2 linked regions of the Drosophila melanogaster genome follow. The protein of the gene in region 2 interacts with the protein of the main gene of each other region in a biochemical or structural test. Each region holds a gene or a part of one and is shown on either strand. Other genes may lie near its edges. The genes, in order: Arf6 and siz.

Region 1 (8,689 bases), on a different chromosome or scaffold from region 2:
TCTTTGGCCTCTGATTTATGTTCGTATTATTGTTTCGTTTAAAGGCATTTTGATATTTTTGTATTTAAAACGTAATTTGATTCCAATAAATTGTACACTAGTTGTTTAGAATTCGTTTATTAATCGATTGTTTAAAAGTTCTTTTTTTTCGTAAATTTACATAGCATATTCGTTAACTTTACTTCGAATTTTTTGAATTAAATTTTAATTTACAAAATTATTTTGTTTTCAGAGTACGTTGAGAGATTTTTAAGATACAGAACGTTTGAGATAATAAGATTATGGTTATTTGGGTTATAGATCCGTCAATTTATTTGCATAAAATAGTATTTAGGCGCGATTTTAAATCTAAAATATAGTTTTTACAACAGCATGGAATGCATTAGCAGACTAGAGAAATAAAGCAATTTCCAGCCAAACAGCTCGCATTTGATCGTTTGGCAAAGGTGCAGATAAATATGTAATAAAATATAAATAAAACCTTAATTCAAAATAAGAAAGTACAAAATCCGTATACGTACAAAAAGAAGACTTTGGTTATGTATTCTGCCATTCACCTCTAGCAAGACAAATCTGAGCAATCGACTGAGTTTATGGTTACATCAAGAGCTGCACTTTCATGAAATGTTAAAACTTAAAGGAAAAGTTCGTGCATCGAGGGCATGGGGTTATCGTGGAGTCAAAGTTTCTTTTAATGCCAAGATGATAAAATTGTTTATTGTAATGGGTTTTTTGTTCTGTTGAATTGGAGAAGTTCTGCATAACACTCATCGAATATTTGTGAAATTTCAGTAACTCATACATAACGGTTGCCAAGCTGAGATGACACTAAGGTTTCATGGAAGCGGGGTAGGATTGCAAGTCTCTTAAGCAGGCATTGATGAAGTCAAGCTCGCGCCCGTGGAACCAGTGGAGACAGTCCCGCTGGGCGATCTCTGGCGCTGTGGGCTGCTTTGTGCCTTAAGGTAGTCCACGAACATACGCCTGGCCTGATTGAGAACCCGAGTGACGTCGTGTTTCCTCACCATTTTATCAAAGTGCATGGCAATCTCGTTGTAGTCCATGCCTGCCTTCATGATCGTGTTTCGGTGCTGTAGCAAAAGTGTTAGACAGAGAAACATGAGGAATGCATTACCTCCACCGAATTCTGTAGGTGGAGGCAATGCGGCCGCAGTGGTATTCACTGCACTGACTCCATTAAGATGGGTTGAACGCTGGGGGGATCGCGTATAGGCGCTCTCGTCATCTGCATTCGTGGCGATCTCCACCAAAGGCGAAACCTCCACTAGACTCGGCTCAGTGGAAATGGGCAGGATGACTTCGGGCAAACTGTTGCTGTTGCGCATTCCCAATGGACTGTGCCCATCCATAAGTTGGCTTTCGTCGATGAATGGATTAAAGGCATGCGACTCGTTTTGCTGAACGCTGTTACTCTTAGCCGCCAGTCGCTGTCGACGACGCATATGTAGCTCACTGACATCGGGACAGGTTATGATCTCGTTCTCCTTGAGATCCTCCACTAAGTCCAGGGCGTCCTTGTCCAGCTTCTCGTACTCGATGTCTTCCCGTTTCTCGCTCTCCGTAAAAGGCAGCCCAAAAACTTGTCGATCTAGATTCTCGGCCTCTAGGCGCAGCTCACGCGTTATGGCCGTCGTCATGGGGTAGTACTCCTGGTCGGGATCTTGATCCGGTGTGTTTGAATCGTCGGGGTCGCATGGGTGATTGCTTTCCAAATCTAGCTGTAGATTGTAACTGCTCAGTTCCTGTGCCTGCTGAATGGTCGTCGCAGCCGTTGAAGCGCTCCAACTGGTTTCCGGAAGTGAGGAAGAATCAGATTCGTCCAGGGAGCTACCCATCCCACTCTTGGTTAGCTGTACCACGGGCTTAGTAACCGAAATTGGACCGGATGTTTGTTGCGGCTGAGTGGCAAAACGATCGGATATACGATTCTTATTAATAGTTGCAAAATTTAGGAATTCATTGAAGTTTTTTACAAGCTTTGGCGGCATCTTCCGATCACCATCATCTTCTCCTTCTCCATCAAAAGAGATACCAATACGACTGCTTGCCGCCAGCTTTTCCTTGAGATCCTTAAAATGGCCACCACTAGAAGTGCTTACTCGCTTCATACTTTCACTCACTTGACTAGCATTAGTAGCTAGCTGTTTGGCGATGATATTGCTCACGGTCATAATGTTTTTGTGCTGCAGCTTGGCCTTCCTGTCACTGGGGTCCTCGTCCAGATTCGAGGAAGACGAACTACACAGAAAGGCTCGTCCTGGTGAAACAGGAGGTGTGGTTTCTCTTTCTGGTGCTCTCTGAGCATCATCCTTAAACGGATTTGTCTCCAAAAAGCTTGGCGACTCCTTCCTATCAAATACATCATCATCTTCGGTTTCCTCGCCGGCGGACAAGTTTTGTTCCAACTTGACATTCCTATTATCCAAAGCGCCCTCAATAAGCGCCAGCATTTTTGACTCGTCCAGACTTTGATGGACCTTGGCCGAAGTCCGTCTTTGGCGGCGAGCAGCGGCTGTCGCATGACGCGACATATTGTCGTCTAGGCTGTGATTCAGCCGTTTTGTATTGTCCAATCCGTGACTGGTTCCCACCGAAGAACTTAGTGAGCTCAAGGAGGCTGAAGAGCTCTGACGGCGCAAAGCGCATACCTTGGTGTAGGGACTTTCACGCGGTTTTGTCAGCAGATAGGAAGGACTGGTCGGCGTAGCGCTGTAGGAGCTGGAAAAAGTGCTGGCGCTATTGGGCACGGAGGCATCAGTAATGGGTACGAATTCCTGTGAAAAATCATGGTGATTAGAAATTAAGCAATTCCCTTTGGGTTTCGCACTAACCTTTTCAAAGAGCGCCAGCTCTTTCTCCCCATCACATCGATAACGAAGTGAACTCCACTGCACCTCCAGCATGCGAAGGGCATCCTCAAAAGGAAACTCCCGCTTTAGCTCCAGCAGTAGCCAACGGTAACAGAAAAGTAAGTCGTCCGCTTGCTGCGACTTGAGGTACTCCCAGAACTCAGGATCATAAAAACTTAGCGCCTCCGTTAGGTGAGCAAATTTCTGAGTCATTGCAATCCCATCCAGCATGAAGTTTCCACGCATACGTGACATTATCGCACAAAAGCAGATGTAGGCCTGTGCCTCGTCGTTCATGGTAACCAGTAGCGGGGAAGCAATGTCCGACATGCCTTGACAATATGAGACCGATGGATGGTTTAGTGCATATGTGGTGAGGATATTGAAAAGCGCAGCGATGTTCTGATTGTCGTCGCTGCCTGCATAAAATGGATGCAGGCGGTCCGTGCGGAGAACATCCTTCTTTACCATGCTCGTTACGTAAGCCAGTTCTCCAGCCACACTGCCTCGCTTCACGGCCGCTTTCCATGTGTCTCTCAGACGACAGTACTGCTCAGACTTTCGTCGCATGAATTCCATACGCTGGTGTCCATCAAGTGCCAGTCCGTTAGCGCCACCGGGATAAACGTTAAGCAGATGTTTCCACACAACGCGCCGCAGACTGGGGTCAATGCCTCCTAGGAAGATGACCCTATGCAACTCGTCCTTGCGTTGAATCTGACCAAGTGCGTCCAGAAAGAGCCGGAACTCGCTGTCGCACATGGGCGGCCGTGGCGGTAGATTGGCCATATGCTCCTCGGATAAGTTAAACGCTTTCTGCACTATGGAGAAGGTTTTCTCCATCTGATTCAGAATGGAGCTGCCCAGTTTGGTCTGCATGTGCTGGACATATTTCTGGGAGACTCCTAAGGACTGCAGTGGTGACATAAGCTCGCGGGCGGGTACAAAAGGTGCAGGAGTTGCGGGAGCAGGCGCTCCCGTTATGGATCTACCCGGGGAGGCCTCGGTCTCACACTCCCTGACCACCGTAAATGGCTTCACATCGATCTGCAGGGTGAGGCAGGGTTCTGAGGCCGTCTGAATGGAAATGTTGTGAATCCTCAGAAAGGCGGCATCCAGATCCCAGTCGGAGCGCACGGCCAGGTAGATCTCGTTGCCCGCCGGATCAAAGGCCTTGTACTTAATGGAGAAGTCCGACTTGACATCGAAGGCCTTGGCCAGCAGGGAGTACAACACCTCCAGCGTGGTGATCTGCGGGTCCACTGAAAACTTTCGCCACTCCGGCCGAGCAGTGGGTTCGCATTTCTGTGGGCGATTTCAAAAAAATTAGATTGAGGAACACAAACTAAGCAGCCCTTTTGTTGTCTCGCCTTCTGGCCACCTTTCACTTGCCTTCACTTTCACCCGAACCGCCTCCCGGGGGCAAATGCCAGCCATGTTTTCCGAGTCTGTTCTGGTCGACGACTAACTAAGTTCCATTGTACCTCTGAGCGATGTCAGTATCGTAAGTATTGCTCAAATATAAAACAATACAAAAGAAGGAAACTGAAATCAATCGACTTGATTTCAATCATCGGTTTCAGTGTGGCCGCCCTAGGGCTTTGTAAGTTCACCAGGGCTACATTAAAATACCAAATCACTAAATACACAAAACAAAAATTTTTAAAATTAAAAAAAATTAACAAATTGTTGAACGTACGAGGAGAATATATCAGCTACATTGTTTGCTAAATTAATATGAATAATAAATGAATATAAGAAAATAAATCTTTTTCAATTTTGAATTGCAAAAGTAATAACTTATTGGCCAAAAAATCACGATATCCCCGCCAGTCACCGTTTTTCATCTGATAAATTCAGTATTTTTGGTATTTATCCTCCGCATTCTTTGCATTTTTTAGCGTATTTTCTGGAATTCCCGAAGATCTTGTTCCGCTCTGCGCTAACGGGCACATTGCTTCGTGTATGTGTATATAAATACAAGAAGATTAGTGCAAAATTGTTGTTGTTAGTTATAGTTTTTTGGCCGCCGTGTGCTAGCAAATGCATTTTATGCCCCGGCCCGCGCACTTTGGCACTACATGTTAACGGATTTCAGGCTGGCGTGGAACGAATTGGGCTGGAAAGCGGTGCGTAACGGCGGTCGTCGGAGACTTGGGTGTGTATACATGTGTATGTGTGTTACGGGCGTGTTTGTGACGTAGGCAAGCAGCAGCGAGAGAGCGAGCGAAATTCCGTAGAATCCGAAAACCATCCGATATCGTTGCTCCCAAGCCGGCTTTACTGGGTCGTCGAGGGGTGCGGTGGCTGTTCAGGGGGCGGGGGTGGAGCGGTCGGATCCACCCGCCCATTCAGTGGAGCCAGCGATAAGCCCGCAATTGAGATAACTCTGCCTCAATTTGCGAGACACTATAGTGTGTTTATCTGTCCAATTGTACTTCCTATGTGTAAGCATGTGTGCGTGTGTTTGTGTGTGCGACTGTGTGCTGCAAGCTCTTCACTGATAAATTCTGCCTCTCCACTTTTTTCTCGCTTTTTAGCAACGAGCTGATGACAATGTAAGTGAAATTATTATGCAAAATAATGGTCTTAGCTTCCGCCGTCGTACAAGCTCTATATGGCCACCAAATTGCCTGTGCCCGCCGTATGTGTACATATGTAGCTACATTTGTATGTTCATATATCACTTACGCGCCTTCGCGCGACGGCGTTCTTATATCATAAATTGATATGTTAACTGCAAACTGTATTACAATGGCCCTATTATCTGGAAATTCACTGACCCTGCCCTGAATCTCGCCCAGCTATTCTTATCGATATGCTTATTTGGAAGACCTCGCCAACTCTACTCGAACTGTTTTTCAGATTGGCTAAGGTTTAATGGATGACACATCAGCACCATGGGAAAGTTACTATCAAAAATTTTCGGCAACAAGGAAATGCGAATTCTCATGCTCGGACTGGACGCGGCTGGAAAAACAAGTAAGCACATAAACAATAAAGGGTTCTCGAATTCGATTGTGGGCCTGATTAGTACCCATTAGTTTCATCAGTTTCCTAAGTGGAAACCAATCCCATTTAAAAAATACTCTTGAGGCGAGGCAATTATTGTTTTGTTTTTATTCTTATTGTACTTTGAAAAAATGTACAATATAAAGACCTTTCAATACGTACACCAGTACTATCACTAATCGAATTCGAGCTATTTTGTTTATACATCCTTTGCGTGTCTAAAGTAATATTGTTTTTGTCCACCCACAGCGATTCTGTACAAACTGAAACTTGGCCAATCTGTTACAACGATACCCACTGTGGGCTTTAATGTGGAAACCGTCACCTATAAGAATGTCAAGTTCAATGTGTGGGACGTCGGTGGGCAGGATAAGATTCGACCGCTATGGCGACACTATTACACGGGTACACAGGGTCTGATCTTCGTCGTGGATTGTGCGGATCGGGATCGGATAGACGAGGCGCGCACGGAGCTGCATAGGATAATTAACGATAGGGAGATGCGCGACGCCATCATACTGATATTTGCTAACAAGCAGGATCTGCCTGATGGTTAGTATAGTGCTCAGCCAATTGTTTCCATCCGCTTATTGTTCTCTCTTGCAGCAATGAAACCCCATGAAATCCAGGAAAAACTAGGTTTAACTAGAATAAGAGATCGCAATTGGTATGTACAACCATCATGTGCCACATCCGGCGATGGCCTGTCCGAGGGCCTCATTTGGTTAACGTCGAACCATAAGTTATGAGAATCGTAATCGAGCATTTTCTTATATGTATGTATATGGCATGTATTATTCGAAGCGAAGCAAAAGCGAAAATATTCTATTTTATTTATACAAAGAAAACCAACCGCAAGCGCATAGTAAAAACTCAATTCGTAAAAACGAACGTACATAAATTACAAATGTTAAAAATGGTATATAGAAGTCAGATATATATAGTAATTATATATACTCTCAATTAACCAACCAATATTCTCACTAGTAAAAATACACATACCTACAAAATAAAAGAAGCATCAAAATAAGCAGCCGGTAAATATCCGTAAAGTAAATTATGCGTGAAGCACAGAGACATAAAGCAAAACATCAACGGAGATTAGCCTTAAGTAAGTTTTTCTTGTAAATTATATTGATGAGACACGTAAGCAATAAGTTGAAAGCTTGTTTATTGCAACTGTTACTATATTTGACTTGAGCAAGGGTGTAACGAGTCTTAAATAAATTGTAAATAAATATTCAAATTAAAGCCCATATACAACAACAAACGAAATAAAAGAAAACACCGAACAAACAATTGAACAAACCTATAGATTGCTATTTAGATTAAAACTGAGTCTTCAAAATATAATGAAATAGTAACTGTGCCTTCCTCAATGTGTGTCTATGATCCCTCATTATTTTCCCCACTCCAACAGCTAATTTTCTCAATCTGATATCCTTCGAGACGAAGAAGGTCCCTGGATTTGCGAGAAAGGCATATTCTGACTTCAGTGTCAAACGCATTTGGTTTGTATTGTGCGCTCAATTTGAAAGGTAAACATGCCACATTCAGTGCCATAATTTGCAGGGTAAATGAGCCTGGGTATACCTGAGCATGATTTGTTCAACACGGCGTTCAATAATTTACCTTTGTTTTGCAATCATCCCCGAATTGTCCGAAAAACTCCTTGGTACATCCTTGCATGAATAATATAATTTATTTTTTGTGGGTGTATGTCTTGTTTTATACCTTTACCGTTTTTATCAAAACCAACCTATTCATAATACCCCGTAATATCTCAGTATCTAAGATTTTTGTTGCTGAATTATAATTATAAATTTTAAGTTATGAAACAAATCATAGGTTTCAAAGTTATTTTCTGTAAATATGTTTTTGTATTATTATTGTATTATAATAATAAAAATATATAATAATTAGTAGAGTCACGTTTTACAGATGAAAAGGTTGTGATGAAGATGACGAGTTCCCAAATAAACGTCATCTAGCGATCCACGAAGTGACGAAGCGCTTATTGCCAAGATAATCTTGTTAATATTCTCACATGAAGTGACACATCCTATGAAATTTGTATGTAGAATTAAACGATTCCGACTTAATAAAGTGTATATATTGTTAATATATATATTATTAGTCAGGATCAATAGCCGAGTCAATCTTTTCTGTGTGCAGAATCCCAGAGTGTAGTATTTCCTTGGTTTTGCGTCTCCTCAAGATGCGTGTTTGTTCTTTCCTTCGTTTGCGAGTTATCTCCAGGATCCGTGGTCTCCTTAATATTTGGTTCACGAAAACAGCAGGTATATGTTGGAAAAAACTATTTATTTTTTGTTTACGATTTTAAGACGATTAAGAAATTGGGGTATTAGAAGCGCCCATGATGTCCTCCATGGTGTCTGTGGTGTTCGCCAAAGCCGCCTTGTCCGCCACCGAAACCACCTTGACCGCCAAATCCTCCCGGTCCGCCACCGAAACCACCTTGACCGCCATATCCTCCCGGTCCGCCACCGAAACCACCTTGACCGCCATATTCTCCGGGTCCGCCACCGAAACCACCTTGTCCACCAAATCCAGGACCTCCACCGAATCCTCCCTGTCCACCAAAGCCGCCTTGTTGACCACCAAATCCTCCTTGACCACCAGGTCCAAATTGAGGTCTGGCCAAAACTGCGGCCACCAGGGCAAGAACAACAATCTATAAAATAGACGAACGTAAGATCCTTCTACTTTCTTTCACATAACCCAGCTAGCTTACCAGTAGTTTCATTTTGCTTTAAATTATTAAACTGAAATCCGCTCTGAAAGTG
Region 2 (8,689 bases):
GTTGGAACACATGAGCCAGCACAGTTTGGCAATGACATTGTTTATTAAACATTTCATATAAATGATTTTAATTATTGTTCTTCGGCTGGCCAGCGCGTTGATGATCTCACTTTTCGATTGAAAACCGAGAAATTTGTTTTCGTTTATTGCATGCATAATAAATAAATGGTCTAGTCTGAAGCACCGACACATGCTTGCCCCAACTATCCAGATGTGTTCGGGGATCACTGGATCACAACCCAGAAAAGGGATCAACTTAATTGTGTTAATTTGCAATCGAGAACTTTGGAAGGAAAGTTATGGTATCTAAACACTTCCGCATCTGAAATAATTGAGAGAAATTACTGGTGATGGATAAGTACTTTGTCATAATAATTGAAATAGCAGAAGGAAATTGTATTCAATTTGTTTTTCATCAGCTTGAACTTATAAATTGTTAGGTCTTTAGAAAATACATTTTAGAAGGCCTATATACTTCAAGGATTACATATATTCAATTTACATATTACATTTTAGTTCAAATAGTTTTAAAAGCGGTAATAGGATTCACCACAACACACAACATTTTAAATAGTTTCTTCTGGACTTTAACCCTGAGGGAAATAATCGAACAAACCACAAAAAATCTTTCGCAAACTATAGAAAGAAATAGAAGTACTCCCTTTACTGAATTGGGTTAACACCACAAAAAAAGTGACCGCAATTAAGAAACCATCTGGATCTGTGGCTGAAACAAAGGCTTCAGTGGGAATCACTTAAAAATCAGCATGTTATTAGTGCAATTACTATCTCATTTTCAACTCCGCCCCCATTTTCAAAGTAGTTCCCATCTGCTGGTGCATTTAGATCATCCAGCCCCCAACTTGCATGTCCATTTGGCATATCTTTTAATTAAAACAAAAGTTTTGCTCTCAAACCTCAAAGATGTTCGCAGCACGCATGGCTTCCATTTTGACCATCAAACTTCCAGTCCCCCGGTATCCCCCCCCCCCCTCAACTACGCCCCCTTTTGTAATAAGGCAACCGCAGTCTTCACTCCAAATGTTGCATGCAAATGAAAGAGCAGAGTAGTAGTGGCAAGAAGGCCAGAGAACTACTTCACCTACTAAAGTTACAGAATACAGTACACACTCATTAAGTAGTCGGAAAACGTTATTCCATCCGCCCCATCTTGACCACTCCGCTCCACCCCCTGGAAAGCCCCACCATTGCCATTTTAAAAGGGGGGTCGTACGAAATTAATAGACTCTCCACTACACTCGCTTAATTATCACAAAGAGAGACCCAGAGCAAAGTTAAAAGCACTTTTCAAATGGGCAAGTGTTTTCCTCCGCCCCCTTTTCCGCATTTCCCATTTTTCTGTGGTGCGTGTGTCTGCTTTATTAGATGATGATAACTGGCTAATGAGTTGAACTCTGCGGCAAGCCAAGAAACGACATAGTTGACTACACTGTTAAAAAATATAATTATTTTCGGGTTACTTTTAAGCTTTAAGAATATATGTATAAATCAAACGAAAATGTGTATAATCATTTTGTTTTTGTTTATTTTTTAATGATGGTAATAAATAAAATGCTTTAATTGTGAGTCACGTAAGTTCTCCCAGTGTACAGAGAGAAACAACAACATTCATGGAGCAGCGGAACCGTACTCATAAGACAGAAAGCTACCCGCACAATTTCAACAACATCTCTGATCTTGAGTTTAATGTCTCATCGTGACATACTCTTTTCCATAATGAAAGATATGCCAACTAGGTGCGTGCAGCTTATCTTGTACAACTCTAATCTGAAAGTGGATCTAAGCCGTGGTAAGCATTTTTACATTACATTTAGATTCGCTAATTAAAACGTAAAAAATGGTGGTACAAATGAGGAAATGTACCTTATATGCAGGGAACGTTTGATAAGCAAATCCTGCATTTTTCCCAATTTCATTTATGCTCTATCAACTAAATTATCATTATTCAAAATAATCTGATCTGAAAGATTAATTTATATATAAGATATCTGAAGTGATTATTCATATAAAAACGTGACAATAAATAACAATTCTAAAAGAGTATCTATACATTCGACGAATGCGAGTTTAAAAGTTTCTGGTGTTTTGTGTTTCAAAGTTTTGGCGAAGGTGAGCTGCAAAAACCGAGACATAAAAAATAAACAGAAAACGCTAAGCGAATAATTGGAAGAGCCCACGATTCTACTACTAGCAGACCTTAGAGGCCAAGAAGCCCCGAAAATAAAGAAAACGGTTAAAAGATAACTGCGCTTTATTTGCGCCCACTTTGTATATGTATACATCATATATACGAAAATATCTGTATTTAAAAGATTGTCTGCGGTGGGGCATGACCGCATGCAAAGCAAAGTCAGGTACGAATATTAAGATACTCCCAACTTTATTCGACTGTCAATGGCAAAATGCCAGGCGAATGGTTTATAATATTTCTTTTCTTGTTTGCCCATGCATTTGTGAGGTTAATCTCCCCTGGAAAGACCCCAAATAAGTGATCGAAACTCGGTCTTAACATTGAATTTCCCTGAGACGGCTCTTATCGCCCGAAGTAGCACTACACATTAGTTATCAGCAGAACTAAACAAATAGAGAATTCTGGTCGATCGATAAGCGGAGAGCAACTGTAGTTCTATCACAGCACAACTGACTCATTCAATTTGGCAACGAAATAAATACAACATTATCTATTGTTCTGTTACAGATAAGCATGAGTTTTTTATGTACGGAAATACCTATCGCCACGGTGCACTTCATTTTGCGACCACGACTGTGTCGATTAGCCCACAGGTAGACCGGCGTGCAAAAAGGGGTTGCAAAAACCAGAAGTCGCACTCCGACTTGTCAGCCTGCAGCTGCCAAGGTGGCAAGGACAAGGGGACGAATGAATGTGACTCAACGAGAAGTTGACTCAACCCGGGGGCAAGGAAACATTGGAGTTGGGGGTCACGGAAATGCAGCCGAAAATGGCGATCCAAAAAAAAAATCAATGATTTTTGTGGTTTTGTTTGAGTGCTGAAGAAGAAATGGTACTTTGGCTTCAAGTTTTTGTTTTAAGATCACACAACCACAAAATATAAAGTAAGGATCTTCACTGAATGAATTATGTATTCCAGCTCTTTTTCTTATCAGCTAAAATGTTAATTTCTAATCAGAAAAGGGAAATAAAAAACTGGCCTATGTGCAGATTAAATTATGGTATAAATAAAACTACAATATATACAGATATATCAAAGGCCTTGACCTGAAACTTAAAAGCGAAATGCCGCTCTGATAAGAAGCATTAAAGAAGAGCTTTAAAAGTAGGTAGTATAGCAGAAAAGATTTTAAATATATATTGTTTCAAAATATAATCAATTTAAAGATGAATACTATCTCCTGACTGATTATAATTACTTAATGGAATATTTTGGCTCTTAATGAGATCACAAAATAAACAACCGCATTTTACAGAGTATTTAGTGAGAAATTGTTCTTTGTAATATGTAAAATGCTCGTTGACACATCTAGAACAATATCGACAAAATTCTTTTTAAATATGTTGAAATCAAATTGCTGAACATTGCAAATTTTTTCTGGCCCCCAAATGCCATGAAAATTATTTTGCAACCGCAATTTTAAAGTGCATCTCTTCCTATTGGAAGTTTCCATTTAAGCGGGATGTCCAATAGGAAAATATGATATGCCATTAATTCACCCTTATTTAACAGATATTTGAATATATTACTAGATAGTAAACATTGGTGGGCACTCACTTATCATCGAGATCGACGGGCAGTCGCTTGAGCTCCGACATGTCCAGCTCCAGTCGCAGATTGGACACTTCACAGAGCAGGCGATCGCGTTCCAGACTCAACTCCTTGATCTTGGCGTGCAGGGCATTGTTCTCCCGGAGCAGCTCGTCCACATTGTAGGGCATCGCATGCACATGGTGATGGGGCATGTTGATGGAGAGGGGCAGGGGCAGGGAAACGGGTCCAGGTGGGGCGACACCCCCAGCGGAACCGCCCGGCCCTCCTTGGTTTCCCACAAACATTATGGAGCTGGCCATCAGCAGGGACTGCGTGGTCTGATGCAGCAGCAATTCCTGGTCGCCATCCGAGTTCTGGGATAGATTCTTCAGATCGGCCTCGGACATGTTTTGTTTATAACCTTAGCGGGGATCGGCTGCACTCCTAATCGATGTGCTTTTGTGGCCAAAACATTATAGCCCCGCCACGCACACGCACTCGCGCGAATGAGGGAAGGTGGTGGAGAGGGTGATAAAACAGCGAAACAGGCAGAACCACTTTGAATCTCACAATAAGAACTGAAAATGCAGCTTGCTGCGAGTTGAAACTTCACTCGTATTGTAATTGAATGACCTTCGTATATTATACTTCAGAGCCAGCACTTCGAATCGCGAGCAACAGTTGGTGCGGATCGGAGGGGGATTACGAATATTCTCGGAATTACGGATTTTCAATTCACGCGCGACGAAAAACACGACGCACTCGTCGTTCGACGTTTGGAAACAGTGTGGACGTGCTGGGGGGCACCGCAGTGTGACCATAGAGCATGCAACTCAAAATACGCTATCGTATTCAAAAAATATACCGCATCAAATGTGGCATTTTAAGACGACCGTTTTATTTTAAAATATATTGTTGTTTTCATCTTATTTAAGAAGGGCATAAACAATCTTAAGTTTATGCTCATTATTATACATAAGCATTTTCTTTCTTTGATAAATTTAAAACTCATTAAATCTAAATATGTGTGCATTAATTAAGATTTATTTTGGAACTGCCAATGATCCATTCCTGGTTGATCTAGTTCACCACAAAAATATTCTATAAAATTGGTATTGTAATAATAAGCCGACATGAAGAACCAAAAAAATATAACCATTATACTAACTGGGCCACCAGGTGCAAATTTAGCTGGGAAAATATTTGCTATTTGTTTATTATGTATGTAATCATGATTTTCAGGAGTGGGTAAAACTACACTGGTCCACAAAATATGCTCGGCTCTGCAGGATAGAGGACGCATTCTTCAAGGATTCTACACAGAGGAAATGCGAGGTGAGGGCACCAGCCAAAGAATCGGCTTCGACGTGGTCACGTTAGCCGGAAAACGAGCAATCCTATCTCGCAAGAATCCCGGGGACCAGCTGCGACGACCCAAAGTGGGAGAGTATTCGGTGTTTGTGCAGGACTTCGACAGTCTCGCTCTGCCAGTACTTGGCACACAGGATTCCCAACCAGAGCCGGATCTCCTGGTCGTGGATGAAGTGGGCAAAATGGAGCTGCTTAGCAAGCGATTTGAGTCGGCCATGGCTGATCTCCTGAAGAAAAAGCGGGCCCTATTGGTCACCATACCCGAGAAATCAACATTGGCTTTGGTGGAGCAGCTGAGAAAGTCAGCAGGATCCAAGATTTACCAGGTGACCAAATTCAATAGGAACGCCTTGGCTGGAGAGATTACAGAAGAGATTACAAAAGCACTTCTTTAACAAAGTAAAATTGTTGGTCTTTTTAATAGTGCCTAGATGTATAATCGTGCTGCCGATTCTCCGCCGCTGGGAGATCATCATCCGATGCTACGCATCCACGGAGCCAGTTGTTGAGTGATTCATTGCGGGCGGCGGCATGGCTGAAGTCAGTGACTGGGATTCGCTCTTCCTCGTCGAACGTTTCCGAACACGTTTGGTTTCCCTAGCCCAGTCCATTTCATTGTAGTGCTGCTCGGAAGCGGTCCAGTGGTACTCCTGTCGGCTGACCAGTTCCGGGTACTTTTGCTCGAACTCCTTGTCGGGTGGCAGTAGCAGCTCCCACCGTTTTGTGTTATTCACCCGGGCCACAGTCTTCAAAACGTCAAGTGTTTCCGCAGGAGGTAACTGGGTGGCGGCCATTACCTGAGCTCGGAACAGGTAGGGCGTGCGGGAGAAACGAAAGAGCTGCGGATGGATTTGAGGAGATTAGTACAAGATAAGTGATCGCTACACCCATACTATAACTCACTATATAATCTCTGGCGCGAATCATCTGCTCTGCGGACACACCGTTCGCATGGGAAAGCACCTTCTCGGGAAAGACCACCTCGGATTTCGGCACCCAGTTGCCGTGCAGTAGGATGCCCACCTGGGGCAGCAAAGCCAGCACCTTGTCGGCAGCCACATGCGGATCCACGTGCTCCGCGAGAATACTAATGACGTCGCTGAACGAGAGCATCCGCGCATCTCTCAGTAGCACTGTAAGCTGTTCCAGCAGCGGCATAGACTTAAGCATGGCCTTGTTGTAGACGGGAAGTACTTGGGCGGCAGCAGAAGCAGCTGCTGGGGCTACCGTCTGCACATGCTCGTCGTAGGGCAGAAGCTTTCGAAGATATTCGTCAGGAGCGAGAGCCAAAGAGGAACTGCCGTGATGACTGGTGGCAAAGAGCTTCTGGCGCTCCAGTTCGGCGGTGGGCGTGCCCCTCGAGTGCCAGTAGGCCTCGCACCACGGCTCATCCGCAATTCGCTGGACGAAACTGTCGTAGGTGCCGACACGTTGCTCCTTTCCGCTGTTTTTGGCATTTCCTCGTGCAAATTTAACCGTGACCTGCTGCAGCACCTCGTCATCGTCCGTGTCCTCCGTTTGAGCCTTCAGTTCCGCCTTCTTGCGCTTGTCGTCCTTATCGAAGTGACTGAGAACGGGTCGCATTTGGACTATGGATGTAAGTGGCGACAGATGCACCTCCCGATCCGTAAAGATGCCCACTATGTACTTGGCCACATCGGTTATGGAACGCGAGCTTGTGAAGGCCTGTTTGTCCATGATGCCACGTTTGTAGGTGGGTCGCTCCTGACCCTTTGGTGGAACTGCTCCATAGGTGTTCTTTCCGTCGGCGGCCACCGCAAATTGCTCGCCCTTGAAGCGATCGAAGTGGGCCGACTCAATGTCCAGGCCGAAGTCCACCTTCACCTCCTGGGCGATTGGTTTTACACAACAATTGACAATCACGGAGTCATCGTGGTTGGGGAGCTCCGTTTTCGTGGGGTATTGAAAGAGATACAGGCTGTCCCTCAGGTTCTTCGACAGGAATACGGGAATCTGGTGGGGATGGGCGGGCATTGTTCTCATGGTAATAATAGTGCCACTCACATACTCACCTCCTCCACGACGGGATCGTCCTCGTCTTCCATAATTTAAATTTCGATTTGATAGTTTTGTCTGCCGACGGTGCACGCCTAAATATCCAGTGTGACCAGGTTGCCTTCCTTCGGTAGCCAGCTCTGCAAACAGCTGATCGGCACAGTGGTATACAATCACTCGAACTATCTCTCATTAGGCTCGAGATTGAATAATACATTTTCACTATGAAAAACATCAAAAAGTCATAGTAATTTAAAGTGATTCCCTTTTAAGAAGACTAAGTTGTATATTAAATATAATAAATAATTTCAATACATATATGTATATAGAGCTCTGGTTCTAATCTTAAGATGTGCACAAATTATTAGAACTTAGCCGTGAGATACGATTAAGTACTGTGATTATATATGCTTGCCTTAAATTAAGCGAAACGAGTTTATAGTTTATATTAAACATTTTCAAAAGTTCTTCGGTGCATAAATAATAAACACTAAATTTAAATAATTTCAAATTATTAAAATATATGTGTCCCCATCCACTGTGCAAAGACAGAATGCAAACACAATTTCCGCCTACCGATTGGCGATACCGATTTTGTAATCGACCACGACGCCCGGGGAAGATGTCTCGACCGACCGCAGCATTAAATTCATATACCCTATGCTCTTGGCCGCATACATAACCGGATCATGTTCACGGTCACGTCGGAGATCTACGGAGAGAACAACTACCAGACGACCCGCGATGGAGGTAAGGTGTTGTCGAAGTTCCGTTTCGTCTATCCGGAGGAGAAGCTGGCGGGGATTAGGACGGATAAAGACGGCGACCTTGAGGTGCCAAGGCCGAAACGTGGCGTGATCGAATTGGAACATTCCGAGGCCACGGAGCTCCGGCTGGTGGGCTTGCAGGTGTGGCGAGGAGCCCTTCTTCTGGCAGACTACCTTTTCTCCAAAAAGGATGAGTTTTCCCAGAAAACCCTAATGGAACTGGGAGCTGGTGTCGGCCTGACCAGCATTGCCGCCGGAATACACAATAACGGAAGGATCTATTGCACGGATGTGGACCTGGGATGCATACTGAAGCTGATCCGCGGCAATGTCCAAAGAAATTCAAAACTCCTCCGCGCTACGATATCAGTTCTGGAGTTTGATTTTCTCGCCTCAAAAGAGGATCACTCGCAGGATCTGCTGGAGGCCATAGACAATAGCGATATAATCCTAGCTGCCGATGTCATCTACTGTGATACGCTAACCGATGCCTTCATCTGCGTCTTGGATAACCTCCTGGATCGAGGTCGCCAAACTGGGAGACCCAAAACGATATACATGGCACTGGAGAAGCGCTATGTGTTCACACTGGAGGATTGCGATTCGGTGGCTCCCATGTATGAGTACCTCATCCGGCAGACGGTGAACAAGCCGTGGATCATGGAGCACCTGCCTCTGGATTTCCCCCAGTATTTCGAGTACGATCGCTGCAAGCAACTGGTTCTGATGAAGATCATCAGTCGTTAAAATGCGTAAATCACACATAAAGACGTTCCGCTTCTTAGATTC

Evidence for each region.
Region 1: of the proteins of siz (region 2) and Arf6, one has a biochemical effect on the other in vitro, tested with the Drosophila melanogaster proteins (one study listed by BioGRID).

What each region holds. Positions count from the first base shown.
Region 1 is NT_033778.4:15,317,714-15,326,402, forward strand, and holds Arf6 (ADP ribosylation factor 6), read left to right. Parts: upstream 1-4,787; 5' UTR 4,788-4,999; exon of another isoform or gene 5,000-5,028; intron 5,029-5,089; exon of another isoform or gene 5,090-5,317; intron 5,318-5,410; 5' UTR 5,411-5,428; intron 5,429-5,735; 5' UTR 5,736-5,770; coding exon 5,771-5,852; intron 5,853-6,131; coding exon 6,132-6,434; intron 6,435-6,488; coding exon 6,489-6,631; 3' UTR 6,632-7,777; downstream 7,778-8,689. Other genes in the region: CG8155 (uncharacterized protein), read right to left, coding at 867-2,795, 2,853-4,175, 4,263-4,307; CG8157 (uncharacterized protein), read right to left, coding at 8,248-8,577, 8,638-8,649. UniProt on the Drosophila melanogaster protein: GTP-binding protein involved in protein trafficking; may modulate vesicle budding and uncoating within the Golgi apparatus. Promotes cell movement and remodeling of the actin cytoskeleton during compound eye morphogenesis.
Region 2 is NT_037436.4:21,030,383-21,039,071, reverse strand, and holds the start of siz (schizo), read right to left. Parts: upstream 4,538-8,689; 5' UTR 4,154-4,537; coding exon 3,771-4,153; intron 1-3,770. Other genes in the region: CG10581 (uncharacterized protein), read left to right, coding at 4,880-4,925, 4,989-5,512; Polr3E (RNA polymerase III subunit E), read right to left, coding at 5,600-5,956, 6,021-7,091, 7,151-7,183; CG10584 (uncharacterized protein), read left to right, coding at 7,823-8,647.